Linked DNA regions of Sus scrofa. The protein of the gene in region 3 purifies or fractionates together with the protein of the main gene of each other region. This does not show direct contact. Links are inferred from orthologs where the notes say so. Each region holds a gene or a part of one and is shown on either strand. Other genes may lie near its edges.

Evidence for each region.
Region 1: the proteins of MPHOSPH6 (region 3) and EXOSC6 purify together in Homo sapiens (affinity purification with mass spectrometry; 3 studies listed by BioGRID and IntAct, with this or other methods). This does not show direct contact. The link is inferred for Sus scrofa from reciprocal best matches to the Homo sapiens genes MPHOSPH6 and EXOSC6.
Region 2: the proteins of MPHOSPH6 (region 3) and EXOSC5 purify together in Homo sapiens (affinity purification with mass spectrometry; 6 studies listed by BioGRID and IntAct, with this or other methods). This does not show direct contact. The link is inferred for Sus scrofa from reciprocal best matches to the Homo sapiens genes MPHOSPH6 and EXOSC5.
Region 4: the proteins of MPHOSPH6 (region 3) and ZFC3H1 purify together in Homo sapiens (affinity purification with mass spectrometry; 3 studies listed by BioGRID and IntAct, with this or other methods). This does not show direct contact. The link is inferred for Sus scrofa from reciprocal best matches to the Homo sapiens genes MPHOSPH6 and ZFC3H1.

Annotation. Positions count from the first base shown.
Region 1 is NC_010448.4:13,295,080-13,298,360, forward strand, and holds EXOSC6 (exosome complex component MTR3), read right to left. Parts: upstream 1,864-3,281; 5' UTR 1,795-1,863; coding exon 976-1,794; 3' UTR 512-975; downstream 1-511. UniProt on the Homo sapiens protein: Non-catalytic component of the RNA exosome complex which has 3'->5' exoribonuclease activity and participates in a multitude of cellular RNA processing and degradation events.
Region 2 is NC_010448.4:49,378,937-49,382,920, reverse strand, and holds the start of EXOSC5 (exosome complex component RRP46), read left to right. Parts: upstream 1-1,173; 5' UTR 1,174-1,217; coding exon 1,218-1,365; intron 1,366-3,984. Other genes in the region: BCKDHA (2-oxoisovalerate dehydrogenase subunit alpha, mitochondrial), read right to left, coding at 604-720. UniProt on the Homo sapiens protein: Non-catalytic component of the RNA exosome complex which has 3'->5' exoribonuclease activity and participates in a multitude of cellular RNA processing and degradation events.
Region 3 is NC_010448.4:6,268,015-6,271,527, reverse strand, and holds the end of MPHOSPH6 (M-phase phosphoprotein 6), read right to left. Parts: intron 1,688-3,513; coding exon 1,593-1,687; intron 1,177-1,592; coding exon 1,044-1,176; 3' UTR 507-1,043; downstream 1-506. UniProt on the Homo sapiens protein: RNA-binding protein that associates with the RNA exosome complex. Involved in the 3'-processing of the 7S pre-RNA to the mature 5.8S rRNA and play a role in recruiting the RNA exosome complex to pre-rRNA; this function may include C1D.
Region 4 is NC_010447.5:35,668,381-35,672,619, forward strand, and holds the start of ZFC3H1 (zinc finger C3H1 domain-containing protein), read right to left. Parts: upstream 2,812-4,239; 5' UTR 2,546-2,811; coding exon 1,948-2,545; intron 1-1,947. Other genes in the region: THAP2 (THAP domain-containing protein 2), read left to right, coding at 3,472-3,542. UniProt on the Homo sapiens protein: Subunit of the trimeric poly(A) tail exosome targeting (PAXT) complex, a complex that directs a subset of long and polyadenylated poly(A) RNAs for exosomal degradation. The RNA exosome is fundamental for the degradation of RNA in eukaryotic nuclei.

The DNA.
Region 1 (3,281 bases), about 7.0 Mb from region 3:
TGGTGTGATCTTACATATTTCAGATCTGCTTTGGAAAAATATGTCACTGAGGAGAAATAAAATTTTCTTTTCCCTGGTCAGGGGTCCTTAGTGTAGTCTCAAAGCCTCACTACAGTCTCTCAACTGCCCCTTTCTAGAGAAGCTGAGCAGGCCTCGGAGACACACAAGCTCAGAAGCTCACACCAAGTCAGGGCAGAGGAGAACAGGCTGCCAGGCCTTTCTCCAATCCAGACCTGAGCACAAACCCACAGCGCTCCGGAGCCACACAGGGACGAGTCCACCCTTGTGGTCAGACAGGCCAGCTCTGCCCTAATGGAACAGGCTGCATCTAGTTTCCCAACATTCAGAAACTCTCACTCTTGGCAGTCAAATGTCCTCTTCCAGGAACCAAGACTGGACCAGGGACACCAGGACACATTTAAAATAATACTGTCCCAAGCCTTGAGTCCAAGAACACACTACACAGCTCAGGAGAGCCTTGCTCTATCCTGTACCAAGAAGAACAACAGAAGAACTTTTCAGCTATAAAAGAATTTCTGTTTTAGTTCAGATAGAAGTGGGAAGACACAACCCCCTTGTCTATTATCTCAAAAGCAGGCCCATTAGATAGGAGACAGTCACTAAGTGGCCCGCACAGGGTCCATCCCTCACAAGGCACTAGCTGCAGGTTCCCGTTTTTCAGGCAAGTCCACCTAAAGTCCTTTCCACCTTGGAAATCAGACTGCAGTAGCAGGTTTCTTCAACTGGGTCGTAGCTGAGCGCCAACCCAATTAGAAAAGTTTCTTAAACGATAGTTTATAAAACAAACAACAAAAAAAAAAACACAGCTGTCCGGCACATCAGTTCTGAGCGCACTTTCCCAGATCCTCTCCCGGGCTCTAGTTCTTGGCTCAGCGCCGTCTGCAAGCCGACGGCTCGGGTTCTTTCGGCGACAGCGGTAGCCTGCTCCTCGGCGTCGTTGCTCACACTTATGGTTCAAGGCGGCGCGGAGGCGCCCCTCCGGCGGGCGGCCCGTACCAAGCACTGCTGCAGAACTGGGTAGAGGCGCTGGCAGCCCTCGAGACCCAGGCGCACGGCTTCTGCCCAACTCTCTGTCGGGCCACCCTCCCCGCTGCCCAGCAGCCCGGCCACCTGGTTAAGCACCGGCATGAGCGCCACGGTGAGGCTGGCGGCGGCGCGTTCCTCCTCGAGCAGCGTGGGGTCCAGCAGCCAGGTGGGTGCGGGCCCAGGAGTGTGGCTTAAGCCGCAGCCCACCACCAGGTCGTACATCTCTATGCCCGCGTCGGCCAGGGCGAGCGCGGCGGCCGTGAGAGCGGCGGCCAACGCCGAGCCGCCGTCCTCGAGCAGCAGCGCCGACACTTCAAGCTGCGCGCGCGGGTAGCGACCCAAGCGCACGGCCGGCTCGAGCGCCTCCTGCAGCGCCAGCGCCAGCTCACGCTCCTCGCCGCCGCCTGGGGGAGCGCGGCGCCGTCGGCCCGAGAAGGGCGCGCGGCGGAAGTCGCAGAGCAAGCGGCCCCGCAACGCGGCCGGGGCCTCGCCGCCCGTTCCGGCCGGGCCGCCGCCGCGCTCGCCGCCCTCGGCCTGGCGTGGGCCGGACACGGCGCACAGCACCTTGGTGCCTCCAGCCTCCAGGTAGGCCGAGCCCTTGGCTTGACTCAGTAGCCCGGCGCGCGCGTACACGGGCCGCAGCCGCGTCGGGTCACGGGCGGCTGGCTCCTCGTCCTCGCCGACCGCGTACAGCTGCGGCGGCTGCGACTCCTCAGGCCCGCGGATGCGGCGGTGGTCCCCGGGCATGGCAGCACCTAGAGTACAAGCCACTTCCGCCCGTCCTGCCTCGCGCGCCTGCTCTTCCGCTCGCTTAAAGTCGCGCGCCCGCGCGAGGGCTGTCGGGATAGCAGCGGGCGGCGCTGCACTGACCCCTGCCGCCCCGGAGGGAGAACGGCGAGCGCTGTAGAGCCCCAGGCAGCAGCGAGGACACCAGGTGCTTCGTGGTTGGGTGGCTGTGAGGCAGGCCTGCAGAAGTGGGACCTAGACCTGCTTGGCCGACCTTTAGCCGATGTGAAATTGTAGTCATTTTAATTTTGCATTTATTTGTATGATTATTTTTTTGTTTTTTGTTTTCTTTTTTTGCCATCCCACAGCATGTGGAGTTCCTGGGCTAGGGATCAGCCAGTCACAACGAAAGCCACAGCTGTGGCAACACCACATCCTTCACCCACTGTGCTGGGCTGAGGATCGAAGGGTCCCAGCGCTCCCAAGACACCAATGATCCCACTGCACAACTGGAACTCCCGTGTGACAATTTTCTGTTTCCTACTGCCTTGCCTAAGAGTGCAGTGACCTTTTGTCTTGGTCACTGCTGTACTGTCAGTGCCCTGGCTGGCATAAACGCTTGCTAATGAATAAATGGAACTGTCTCCTGCACTGGATTGTGAGTTCTTTGTATCCCTGACACTCCATACCAGGCATGCAGCTGCTGCAGTCAGGGCCTCAGCACCTTCCTTCTACCTAGCTCTCATAACTCCGTGTGAGAACAGCCTTTCATTCCCAGGCCTTGTGACTGTTGGCCTCTGCTGCTTCAGCTGCCATAGACCTGCTTTTCCTCCTCTCTCCAAAGTCAGCAGGACTGAGAAATGACCCTCGGCCTCAGAGCCAGCCTGCTGTACCCAGTGGACTGGAAATCAGCCAGAGGGGGCACAACCAACTACTATACACTGCTGCTTCCAAACCTAGCTGTCTTCAGACTTGGGTGAAGGGGCAAACCAGGTCAGAGTCTCCATCCTCAATGTCCAACTTTTAAGTCCTGGAACCAGGAATGAGGGGACAGGCAAAGGAGTGGAGGGAAGCAAGTGATCTACCCTAAATGCCTCCTATACCAAAGAATGCTTCTGATCTACACCCAACCTGCACACCAAGAGGAAGAGGGATATGGGCCTAAGAAATGGAAAGGTTTTCCTACAAGAGGCTCCAAGGAGATTCTCTCTGCCTCCAATAATCCCTTGAATCACCTTCCATTGAATGATGAATGCCTCTCTTCATCTAACCCCCCTATTCTGTGGGCCACCTCTACATGTAAGTCCTGAGCCATTATTCCCAAAGTTCAGGGGTCTAGGGCTAGACTTGGCAATGGCTGCAACCAGAAGCCAGTTGGAGCACTTATTCTACAGACACCCGGGGAGCCACAGGCTCTCACACCAGGGGTGCCTATGGGTAGGATGTGCGGGAGGGAAGGGAGAGAAGCGATCATGTGGCATTATCAAGTATTGCACATGGTCCTTTTA
Region 2 (3,984 bases), about 43 Mb from region 3:
CGGTCATAGTGTCCATGAGGATGCAGGTTCCACTCCTGGCCCCGCTCACTGGGTTAAGAATCTGGCGTTGGCCCCCAGCTGCGGTTCCCATTCCACCCCTAGCCTGGGAACTTCCATATGCTGCAGATGCCCCAATAAAAAGTAAAAAAACAAACTAAAAAAAACCAGAGTTGAAGCAAAAAGGCACTATAAAAGCCTGTGCTGGGGTATCTGCTCTCTCTTCTCTTCTTGGAAGGGGGAGTCTTTCCCAAGAAGAAAATCTTTCCTTTGTAAACGCAATTTCACTCTCCAACCCCTGAGGAGAAAGGTCACACTTTCCCCCCATGTCCTCCAAGAGGCCTCCCCGGGGCATTGGTGGCAACTAATAAGAAACGCCCTCCCTCACTTTCTCCACGTTGTCTTCCTCCCTGAGGGTCCACAAAGAAGCTGTCCCGCTTTGCCTCTCCTAAGGAAGTGAAACTTCTTCCCTTGAGGGTCCGCTACAAGATGTTTCTGCAGCCCTTCTCCCTTCAACCGCCCTCCATGTACTCCCTACAGGGACGCCACACTCTGAAGAAGGAGTTAACATTTCTATACCTTCTCGGGTACCTCCCCAGTACTCACAGATCTAGCCAGACCCCGAGCCCCAAGCCGCCGCAGAAGCAGGAGGCCAGCCTGGCCCAAGCCTTGACTGCGCTCCCAAACCCTCGCCACAGCCACCGCCAACGCCATCTTGACCATTAATACCTCAGAGTAGCGTCCCCCTCCTTGGCGAGACTGGGGCTGCCCCTTCAGGAGCCTGACTCAAATACCAGGATCGCTCTGCCAAGAAACCACCTGCTACTAATCCTGCGGTCTTTAGGACACATATATAGGTGGGTAAAATAATCCAGATTTCCCCAAATTACTCCGATCGCTTCACCGGAGTTATTCCTCTTAACAGGCAAAGCAGAGGGCAACTGAGCTCGGCTTCAGGGTTTCAGGGCCCCGGGGCCTCGGGTAGGACGAGCTCATGCCAAGGCCCGCCCTCTCTTCCCTTCTGTCCAATGGCTTTCCTGGACTCTCTAGGCGGGAGTAGGAGGGACCAGATTGTTAGTAAACGCAGAGACACGTGCGGGCGCGGATCCCGGAGGGCCCCGCACCCAAGTTGGCGCTTGCTCATTGGGTACGCAGTCTGTACGCAAGCGCGCGCTTCTGGGCGGAAGCGACAGTCCCTGCTGCACGTGGGCTCCCCGGCGATGGAGGAGTCGATGCAGACTGAAACCAAGGTACGCCCCGAGTCTGGAGCAGAGTCTGGCCCTCGGAGCCCCAGCTGTACTCTCCGGCACTTTGCCTGCGAACAAAACTTGTTGTCCCGGCCCGATGGCTCTGCCTCTTTCCTGCAAGGTAAGAATTTACCCACGTCGTATTTGTTCTCGTGGGCGGGTACAGTGTATTGTGTTAGCTGGTAAATATCTTCTTGGACTGATGCAGTTCTTGCCGGAGTGAATGGTACTGCATATGCCAGTAGACAAATAGAAGGGTGAAGATACCTCCACTCTGGTAAATATGCCTCAGGATGAGAGAGGGGCAGACCTTCTCTTAAGAACGAATACTCCAGGGACTTCCCTTCGTGGCTCAGCAGTTAAGGAACCCGACTAGGATCCATGAGGATGAGGGTTCGATCCCTGGCCTCCCTTAGCGGGTTAAGGATCCGGCGTTGCTGTGAGCTGTGGTGTAGGTCGCAGACACAGCTCGGATCTGGGGTTTCTGTGGTTGTGGTGTAGGCTGGCAGTTGTAGCTCTGATTAGATCCCTAGCCTGGGAACTTCCATGTGAGGCCTGAGAGAGCAAAAAAAAAAAAAAAAAAAAAAAAGAACGAATACTCCAGAATAGGGGAAATCTCACCGTGTAAAAAAAGTCCTCCTTGACTAGGTTCCTCCCACACATGCACTCTGGATTCATCTATCCCTGGTTGAGGCAAACCTGTTCTTTTGCGTAAATACCTCGTAGACTGGCAAATCACCACTACTGATTTTTTTTTGTTTGTTTTTCTTTTTTCTTTTTTTTGCTTTTTAGGACCGCACTTGCAACATATGGAGGTTCCCAGGCTAGGGGTTCAAATGAAGCTGTAGCTGCTGGCCTACATCGCAGCCACAGCAATGCGAGATCTGAGCTGCATCTGCGGCCTACACCACAGCTCACGGCAACCCCAGATCCTTAACCCACCGAGCGGGGCCAGGGATTGAACCCATAGCCTCATGGATACTAGTTGGGTTCTTACCCGCTGAGCCAAAATGGGAATTTCGTTGTTTTATATATACGGAGTTGCCAGGCTGGGGATCACATCCAAGCCCCAACTGTGTCCTTCCTATGCCCTTAGAGTGGCAACGCTGGGCCAGGGTTCCTGCCAATTCCTTTGTGCCACAGCGGGAATTCCTGAACACATGTGTTTTTGCTAAGTACTGTTCTAAGCACTGAGAAATCATAGCTAAAAAGGTTTTTTGTGTTTTTTTAATTTCTTTTTTTATATTTTTTTCTGTTTTATATAAGTTTTTAAATTCCTGCCCTAGAAGAGTTTCCATTTCCATCAGAGAAACAAGTGATAACTAAGTAAAACTTAGTAAAAGGCTATGGAGGAAACTACCGCAGGAAGGAAGAATAGGGCGTGCCAGAGAGGGGTGCAGTCTCAAATGGGATGGTCAGGGAAGGCTTCGCTAAGATGGTACCATTTGAATAAAGATCTAAAGGTAAGGGAGCAAACCCTCAAGACAGTAAGAGAAAAGCATTGGGGACAAGGGTAAAGGCCCTGAGACAAAAACTTGCCTGGTGTGTTTGAGGAGCAGTCAGGAGAGCAAAGTGGCTGCAGCAGAGACAGGAGGTCAAAGAGAGGTACGGAGGACTGCCCTTCATGCAAGTTTCTTAGCACTTAAATACTGAGCCTCTTCCATGTTCTAAAACCCCAAAGCCCAGGACCCTGGAGCAGAGTCCCTCAAAGGCCCTCAGAAGTGTGTCTCACATGCTCCTGGCCTCAGAATCTCTACTGAGGTTAAGAATTCCGAGCCCCAGGAGTTCCCTGGTGACTCAGCAGGTTAAGGTTCCAGCATTGTTACTGCTGTGGCTCAGGTCCAAGCTGTGGCAAGGGTTTGATCTCTGGCCCAGGAATTCCATGTGCCGTGGGCACAGCCAAAAAAAAAAAAATGCTGAAGCCTCAGAACCCACCCACACCAGCTAAGTCTGGCCCTCTACACTTTTTAATCCACTACAGCGGCAATTCTGATTGCAGGCCAGCGTTTTGAAGCTGTGCACCAGCTCCGTGTCCTCCCACTGCAGGTTGCAATCCCCGCTGCACATTAGAATGGCCTGTGGAGCTCACAGGCTGCCGGTGCCTGAGCGCCAGCCCTCAGCAATGGTATTAGGCTCTCTGAGGGGAGGGGCCTGTGCATCAGTGTCTTTTAAAGCTCTGCAGTGAGTCCAATGTGCATTCGTTAGTGATTCTTTTTTTTTTGCTTTTTGTGGCTGGGCCTGCGGCATATGGAAGTTCCAGGCTAGGGGCTGAATCGGAGCTACAACTGTTGGCCTACGCCACAGCCACAGCCACATTGGATCCTTAACCCACTGAGCAAGGCTAGGGATCGAACCCACATCCTCATGAATATTAGTTGAGTTCTTTAACCTCTGAGCTGCAGAGGGAACTCCCTGAAAAAAAATTTTTTTTTTTTGTCTTTTTTGCTATTTCTTGGGCCGCTCCTGCAACATATGGAGGTTCCCAGGCTAGGGGTTGAATCGGAGCTGTAGACACTAGCCTACGCCAGAGCCACAGCAACGCGGGATCCAAGCCGCGTCTGCAACCTACACCACAGCTCACGGCAACGCCGGATCGTTAACCCACTGAGCAAAGGCAGGGACCGAACCCGCAACCTCATGGTTCCTAGTCGGATTCGTTAACCACTGCGCCACGACGGGAACTCCTGAAATATATTTCTTATTGGGGGTTATGGTCAGAAAAATTTGGAAGCTACTGTTT
Region 3 (3,513 bases):
GAGCTTCTGCCCCGGGATGTAGGGAGCCGGGAAGTGCACTGTCCTCACCTTCACACTGAACTGGAGCTGGATGAACGTCAAATTCACAACTTTTTTCTTAGCTCACCAGAGAACTTTAAGGGCACACAGCAACCTAAACCTAAGGGGATTCAGAGAGAGAGGAAAAATGCACCTCATTTAATTGTTAGGAACATAGTCATATGAAATCAGTGTTTCTCACAAGTTCTAGGTACACGTCTCTAGATGGACAGAGACACACACACACCTAACTCCAGGGGCTTTTGATTTACTGTTTAGTATAAGGTTCAGATTAGGAGATGGCCTGGTTGGTGGTAAATTCTTCCAGGTTAATTGATAACTGCTTTTAACACATAAAAGGCAATTTCCTATGGGTCAAGCTAATGTTTCACCATATTCTAAATTAATGGCTGTTTTTTAAAAGTTACTAATTGGACAAAAGTTCCAATACTACAGTTATCATTTGAAAGTATAAGAAAATAGAAAAGGTATATGAAACAGATATTTATTACAGAACAATATTTTTAAACAGTATTTAAAGGCTTTAAACAAAAAAGCATAATTCCACACACTGACAATGATTTAGTAGCATGGCAATACCTTAGGCTGGAGAGAAATGTTTGTTCTTGATGAATTTACATATAATAAATTCTCATGACATTTGATTCCAAAATATATGCATGAAATGGTTTGACATGATTAACAATTTAAAGGAGACTATAAACATGAGGTCAGTGACTGGGAGAGCTGTATTTAAAAAAAATCAGAGATAAATAATTCTTTAGGAAGCAACCATGTACCTATGTACGTCTGAAGATCAAGGGTTAAAAATCCATTCCTGATGAATCCCATTAAGCAAAGGATGTATAACATCCATCACACATCTGTTCGAAAAACAGCATGTTTTCACAATTATACATTTCTTTACAAATAAACAACACTAATGACTAGAGAGAAACCAATAGAATGAGTTCCAAAATGTGCTCTCGCGAGGCATCCCTGAGCCCTATCTTAAGGCATCCATTTTAATCTTGGGGCTTTAAGAACATCTTCTTTGCTTTAATTGGCTTTATGTCTCCATTTTCATCTTCTTCATAATTGGCACGGTCTCTTTTTTTGGCAAACTTTTTCCCAATTGTCCCCACCAAGGTCTCATATCTGTTAAAATGATAAACACAAGTTTAGTTTCAAATAAAGAAGACAGGAATCAAGACTTGTCAAGAATATCAAACCAAATATGCAACAAAGAGTACGAAAAATCAACACTATGATTGACAGAAACCATCTGATTTAAAATTTATGAACTTCTCTACAAATGATCAAATTCTTTACTTTTTTTTTCTGGGTTAGTGTTCTAAATAAATCGAGATGTATATTTTAAAATATGAATTAGAAGCAGCACTAGAAATGAGCCCTCAACTGCCAGCCTGTGACAGGTGTGAACACTGCCCTGCCACCCAGGAAGCCCTACGTGCTGAGTACTCCCTTCAAAGGCTGGCAGACCACCTGACTGAGTGCCAATGGACGCTGTGGGCTCTAGGCTCAATTCTACAGCCGACCAAGGTAACAGTTACCTTCTGGCCATTTCTTCATCTGACACATCGAGCTCCACTGTTTCATCTTCAACTTCTTCTGCTTTGTTTTTAGCATTCATCTGAAGCATTAATTTCTAAAAAATACAGAAATGCTGACTAGCAGAGCTGGAAAAAGCTTGTTAAAGGAACTGGTGTCAAATGTACTTGAAAGCAAAGAAATAAAAGTTACAGCATCTACAGCACTAGTCAAAATTTCTAAGGGATTCTCTATAATACTTTATTTCCCAGTATGCTAACAGAAGCTAACTCTGAATTAAAAAAAAATAATCGGCAAAGCTCCAAAAGATTAGAATTACTGTTAATGAGTTTAAATTTTATTGTATTATTTTTGTTGGGGGGGGGCACACCTGTTGCACATGGAAGTTCCCAGGCTAGGGGTCAAATTGAAGCTGCAGCTGTAAGCCTACGCCACACCCACAACCGAAGCAACGCCAGGTCTGTGCAGGGCCTGTGACTTACACCACAGTTCACGGAAAATCCTGGATCCTTAACCCACTGTGTGAGGCCAGGGATTGAACCCGCATCCTCATGGATACGAGTCGCATTCTTAATCCATTGAGATACAAGGGAACTCCCTAAATTGTATTTTAGATCATAAATCTTAGTTACGTGTATCTAAAGCAGGCACACTGCTAGCTTTAGATAGGGGCAAGAAAAAATATAGTTTCAGATATCCTTTGAACTCCCCGTCTTTGAGCCAAATAGAAGAAATGCTGCAGTCAAATATAACTTTAAGTGCAGTTTTTGGTGGTGGTTGGGGAACAGGGAGGGCAAACTGCTAGAAGGATTGAAGGCTGGCTCTCGTATGATGGAGAGGAGGGTGGACAATGCACTGACTTTCACATGATGTCCATGTGCCTTGGGTCTATCCTCCCTCTCTTTTTCTTACATTTACCTTTTCTTTTCCCTTTCTCCCTTCCTTCCCCCACTCCTCTTTTTAGGGCTGCACCTAGAACATATGGAGGCTCCCAGACTAGGGGTTAAATTGAAGTGCAACTGCCTGCCAACACCACAGCCACAGCCACACGGGATCCCAGCCACATCTGCAAACTACACCAGAGTTCACAGCAATGTTGGATCCTTAACCCACTGAGCGAGGCCAGGGATCGAACCCACATCTTCATGGATACTAGCTGGGTTCATTACTGCTGAGCCACAGTGGGTACTCCACATTTATCTTTTCTTGATAGTTACCTTCTGACAGACTTAAAATAAAACAATTTCAAGAACACAAGCTCTGTGAGGGCCTACGTTTTGGTTCCCTGCTGGATTTCCAGTGTCTCAAAAGGGCTGAGGTACCACAGGTACAGAGTAAATATTTACTGAGTAAATTCACTCAATGGTGGGTGTCACCAGAAACACAGTATTAACAAATGTGTTCTAAGTACATCCTACTTATAACAAAGTAAGTGCTCTCAAGTTGCTATCACTCTTTTCATAACCAGGTACACCAAAGTCTTCTCACAATTCATGACAGCTCAGATCTGCAAGTCAAACGGTTCAAAACCCTCTTCCAGAGAGAATATATTCAGTGTTACAGGGTGCCAGTAGTTAAAGCCATTTCCTGATAATCTCTCACATTAAATTCGGGGGGCCAGATCAACCTCTTTCCCTGATGCACCGTACATACTCTGAAGTCCTTGTCCACCCAATACCCTGGTCTTTGGGCATCACCCACTCATAATCTTTGCTATCTTTTTTCCCTTTTACTCCACTGCCCCTTTTCTCTTTCTAATCTAAAGCTTTAGCCAGGCCAAAACCAAGGAAAGTATAGATTAAAAACAAACACCAAGGAAAGTATAGATTAAAAACAAAACCAAGGAAAGTGTTGATTTTGTGTAAAATTTAATACCTTAATTATCATGCCCCTTTAAAAAAAAAAAAAAAAAAAAAAAAAAGA
Region 4 (4,239 bases), on a different chromosome or scaffold from region 3:
TCACAACATCATATGCCTATTTACTAATAAAAACATATAAAGTTGGAGTTCTCTTTTGTGGTGCACAGAAGATTAAGGATCCAGCACTGTCACTGTAGCGATTTGGGTCGCTGCTATGGCATGGGTTCGATCCCTGGCCCAGAAACTTTGATAGGCCACGGGAGCAGCCAAAGAAAAAACCCCACAAACTATATAAGGTTAATAATTAATGAAGGTATGTGGTAGAGGTCAAATTGGTATTGAATGAGAAGGCAAAGGCAGGAGCTAGGTAAATCTACTCATTACTTTCTTCTCTAAAATAAACTAAGAAAAAACTTTAAGCTCTCCATAATACTTTTTACATACTTCAATTCGAACTTTTTACACTGAACTATGGTCATTGATATGTCTCTCCCACAAAAATTACAAGTCTCATCTTTGTACTCTTAAAAAATCTGAATATATGTGCTTAAATAGCCTTTCTGCTTTTAGATTCATAATTGACAACTAATAAATCCTTGATTAAAAAATATCTTGGGCAGAGGTTTTCTAACTTCACTGGAAGACTATCCTCTTTTGAAAAGTTAAATACAGGGAGTTCCTGCTGTGGCATCTCTGGAGCGATGAGATGCAGGTTTGATCCCTGGCCCGACACAGTGGCTTAACGATCCAGTGCTGCAACTGTGGCGTAGGTCACAACTGTGGCTCGGATCTGATCCCTGGCCCAGGAACTCCATATGCCTCGGGGCGGTCAAAAAAGAAAAGAAAAAAAAAGTTAAATACCAAAATGATTTTTTCTGAAACAATCCTGGAGTGCTCCTAATCCAACTTTTGGTTGTAATTTTTTCAGAGCACTAGCACCAGAAGCTGCTACTTCTTACCTAAACCTATATTTCTATCCTGACATCTGGGAAAGACAATTTGGGCCTGAGTATCCCATGAAAATAATGTTCACTGTCTCCCAAACAAATGTCATTATATGTTAAGTGTCATATATAATGAATATATTAAAAAATCATTACACCATGGAAATTACAATCAGTAATAAAGTTCTTAGTAAACTTTTTATGTGGTTATCATGGAATAAGTCAAGACACAGACATATAAACACATCTTAAAATGGCAAATCTTCAGATGAGTAAACTCAGGAATGTTTAAAGATCAGAAGGGACAAAAAACAGATATTTTGCAATTTTCCTTCTCAATCTCTCCATAATCTCCACCTTCCCATAAATCCCATGGTTTCCAATATATTGAGATAAAAATGCTGTTAAGTTTCATTCTCTCTGTAGCCCAACTCTAAGAGTTATAAAATGTCAAAAATGTGAACATAAGAAATAAGACTTAAAGTTTTCCAAAAAAGACATATAAATTTAAAGCCTCTGAATTAATAGAGCTGGTGAATATACCGGGGTTTTTTTTTTCCAACTTTAGAAGGCAGCAATGTGTAAGAATAAATCAAGATAGAAAGGTTAAAACAGACTCAAATAAAAGCAGTAGGATTATGCAGAATGAAACTTCACAATTTCCAATGTCGCAGTGCAATATGATATAAGCAATGGTATTCCCCAAACTTTTTATGGCTAATATTTTTTTTCTTCCTCTAAAAATCTAAGTCAACATCACCTAAAAGCAAGGGTAGTATTAAAAAGAGGGTTAATGAAACTTGGGCTTCTGATGTAATATTACAGATCTGATTTTACACTTCCTTAGGTTCCATTAGTTTGGCCCCCATCCATAACACGTAAATATTTATTAAAAAGCAATAAACTCAATAAAGTAATTTTTTAAAATAACGCTACGGTTTGACACATGGAGATTACCAAAGAACCAACTACGTTAAGTATACTTACAGTGACAAGCGGTTCTGATGGTTCAGAAAAGTTACTCATCTCAAAGACCTAGCAATGACGCTAAAAGGAACTTTAGTAGTGACACACCCAGGGCAGACCGCCACGTTAAGGATACAACTCTTCCGAGGTGGAGAGGGCTCTCGCCAGCTCTGACTGCTGCTGAATCCAGATCCTGCTCCTCCTCCTAGGGGAGGTCTGCCCCCCGGCTTGCCTCCTCGCTCACCCCCTCCTCGCCCCCGACTCCAGCGACTCCCACCCCGGTAAGGCCTGCCTCGAAAACGGAAACGGTCCAAGGCAATGTGGCTCCGTTCCCAAAAGGACGGCCGGGGGCTGCTTTCGGACAGTGAGCTCGAAGGCATCCGCACGGAAGGCGGGTGAGACCTGAACGGCTCTTTGGGTCGGTAGCTGCTGTGTCCCCTGAGGTGGCCCCGCTCCGACGCGTGCCGTGAGCGTGAGAAATTCCTCAGCTGCTGCTGAGAAGAGGACGACGACGAGGAGGAGCCACCGCCTCCGCCGGATCCACCACCCCGGGCCGGGTGAGGAGGCCTTCGCCGCGGATACGGTAACAGCCCTCCGCCACTGCTGCTGCTGCTGCTCCGGCTCCGTATCTGGCTGTTATTATCGTCATCGCTGATCTCTCCATCTTCGAGCTCCCCTTCTTCCTTGGGCGAGAGGCCACTGGAGGCCGGGGCCGGAGTATCTGCGGTCGCCATCCCGGGAGCAGTGCCTTCCACACAACCTTAGCCCTCTGTCCGGGGATCCACCCTACAATTGTCTTCCTCCTCTGTTTCCTTTTTTCCTAACGGACCCGGTCGGTGCGGTTTTACAGTACTCGGACACCTAGTGGGCTCTGCTCCCCAACTTCCCCGCACCCCAGCTCTTTCTCGCCGGACCGTCGCAATTCAGTTCCCTTCCCTAGCGCCCCCTTGCTCTCCGCGATCGGGGCTCTTCCGCCTCGCGAGAAAGGGTCTCTGGAAGTGGCTCTACTCGTGACGTCACTTCCCGAAGCACGCAGGAAACAAGGCTCCCAATTCACGCGATAAAAATTAGGACGACGCGATTCTCAGTGGGCGTTGTAGTTTTTTTTGAGTATTGCTTTCCGTTTGTCCTTCCAAAATCTGTGCCTGTTAGCTACTCCAGACCCTAAACTCGGGTTTCTGGGTGCGTGGCAGGGTAGGCGGGTCTCTTCTTAATCTCGGCTGCGAGATTCATATTTCATAGTGATAGGGGGCTGGTGGGGGGCATACCTCTTCGATTGCTCAAAGAACAACTACCAAAGAGACCAGTAGTCCCTCTCTTTTGGGAGCCAGCGGTAGGGCGGGTTGCGTTCGCCATGTTGGTGAAGGCAAACGAAGGGGACTGGAGCTCCAGGACTGTAGGCTCTGCTGCCCCAAGTCCGCCATATTAATAAAGAGAAAGGGAAGGTTGACTACCCCCCCCCAGCTACACACACACACACACACACACACACACACACACACACAACACGCATACACAACCCCTTCCTCGCACGCAGGTCCCACGACTCAGTTCTTTGGCCCTTCCCCTGCCACGCTTCCCCAGTCTCTGCCCGAAGGGAGCGTAGCAACCCGCACCTCAAATCAGGCTTAAGACAGCGCCGAATGAGGGGGAAAGGGAAATGCCGACCAATTGCGCCGCGGCGGGCTGTGCTACTACCTACAACAAGCACATTAACATCAGCTTCCACAGGTAACCTGGGCAGGGAGTGCGGGTGACGAAAACGGGAGTTCCTTGACTGGGTATCGCTTGGGGCGGGGGGGAAGACCAGGGAGGATTCTACTAATTCTGATAACTTCCGTAGCTAACTAGTAGCAGAGGCGCAACATTTTTACCCTTTGTGTGTGTTTCTCAAATCTGTCCAATTTTTCTCTCCCTTCGGGGAAGGTTTGCTCACTTTGAGAAAGAGAGCCAAGTTCTGTACGGTGATTGCTCCTTTAGAAAGTGACAAGGAAGATACCTTAATTTTCTACTCTTTTACTCCTGTGTATTAGATCAGGTCTTGACATTAATGACACCGTAAGAGGAAGTGAGATCTTCCTGTTCAAGCCAGCAATCACCTAAAAAGCCTGCTGTGTTCTCATTAGAAGTTAATTCTTACTGGCTGAACTGACATGGGAAGCATTTGGATTTTTAATCTTTTAGTCACAGGCAGTAATTTTGTGGAGGAATTGAGTCATCATTAATAGCCGTGGAATTAAGCGATGTTAATGAAAGTGGGAAATGAAAGCTTTCTTTTCTTTTAGTATGCAGAGTAGTATAATAAAAGGAACCCGGATTGTGTTTTTCCTACGTTTGCTGGAAGAGCAAGCAAAATTCTTTAGTTCTGTTAAATCAGACCTCTTGAAAGGGCTTTGAACACTATATGACATAAGTACTTAGGTAAATG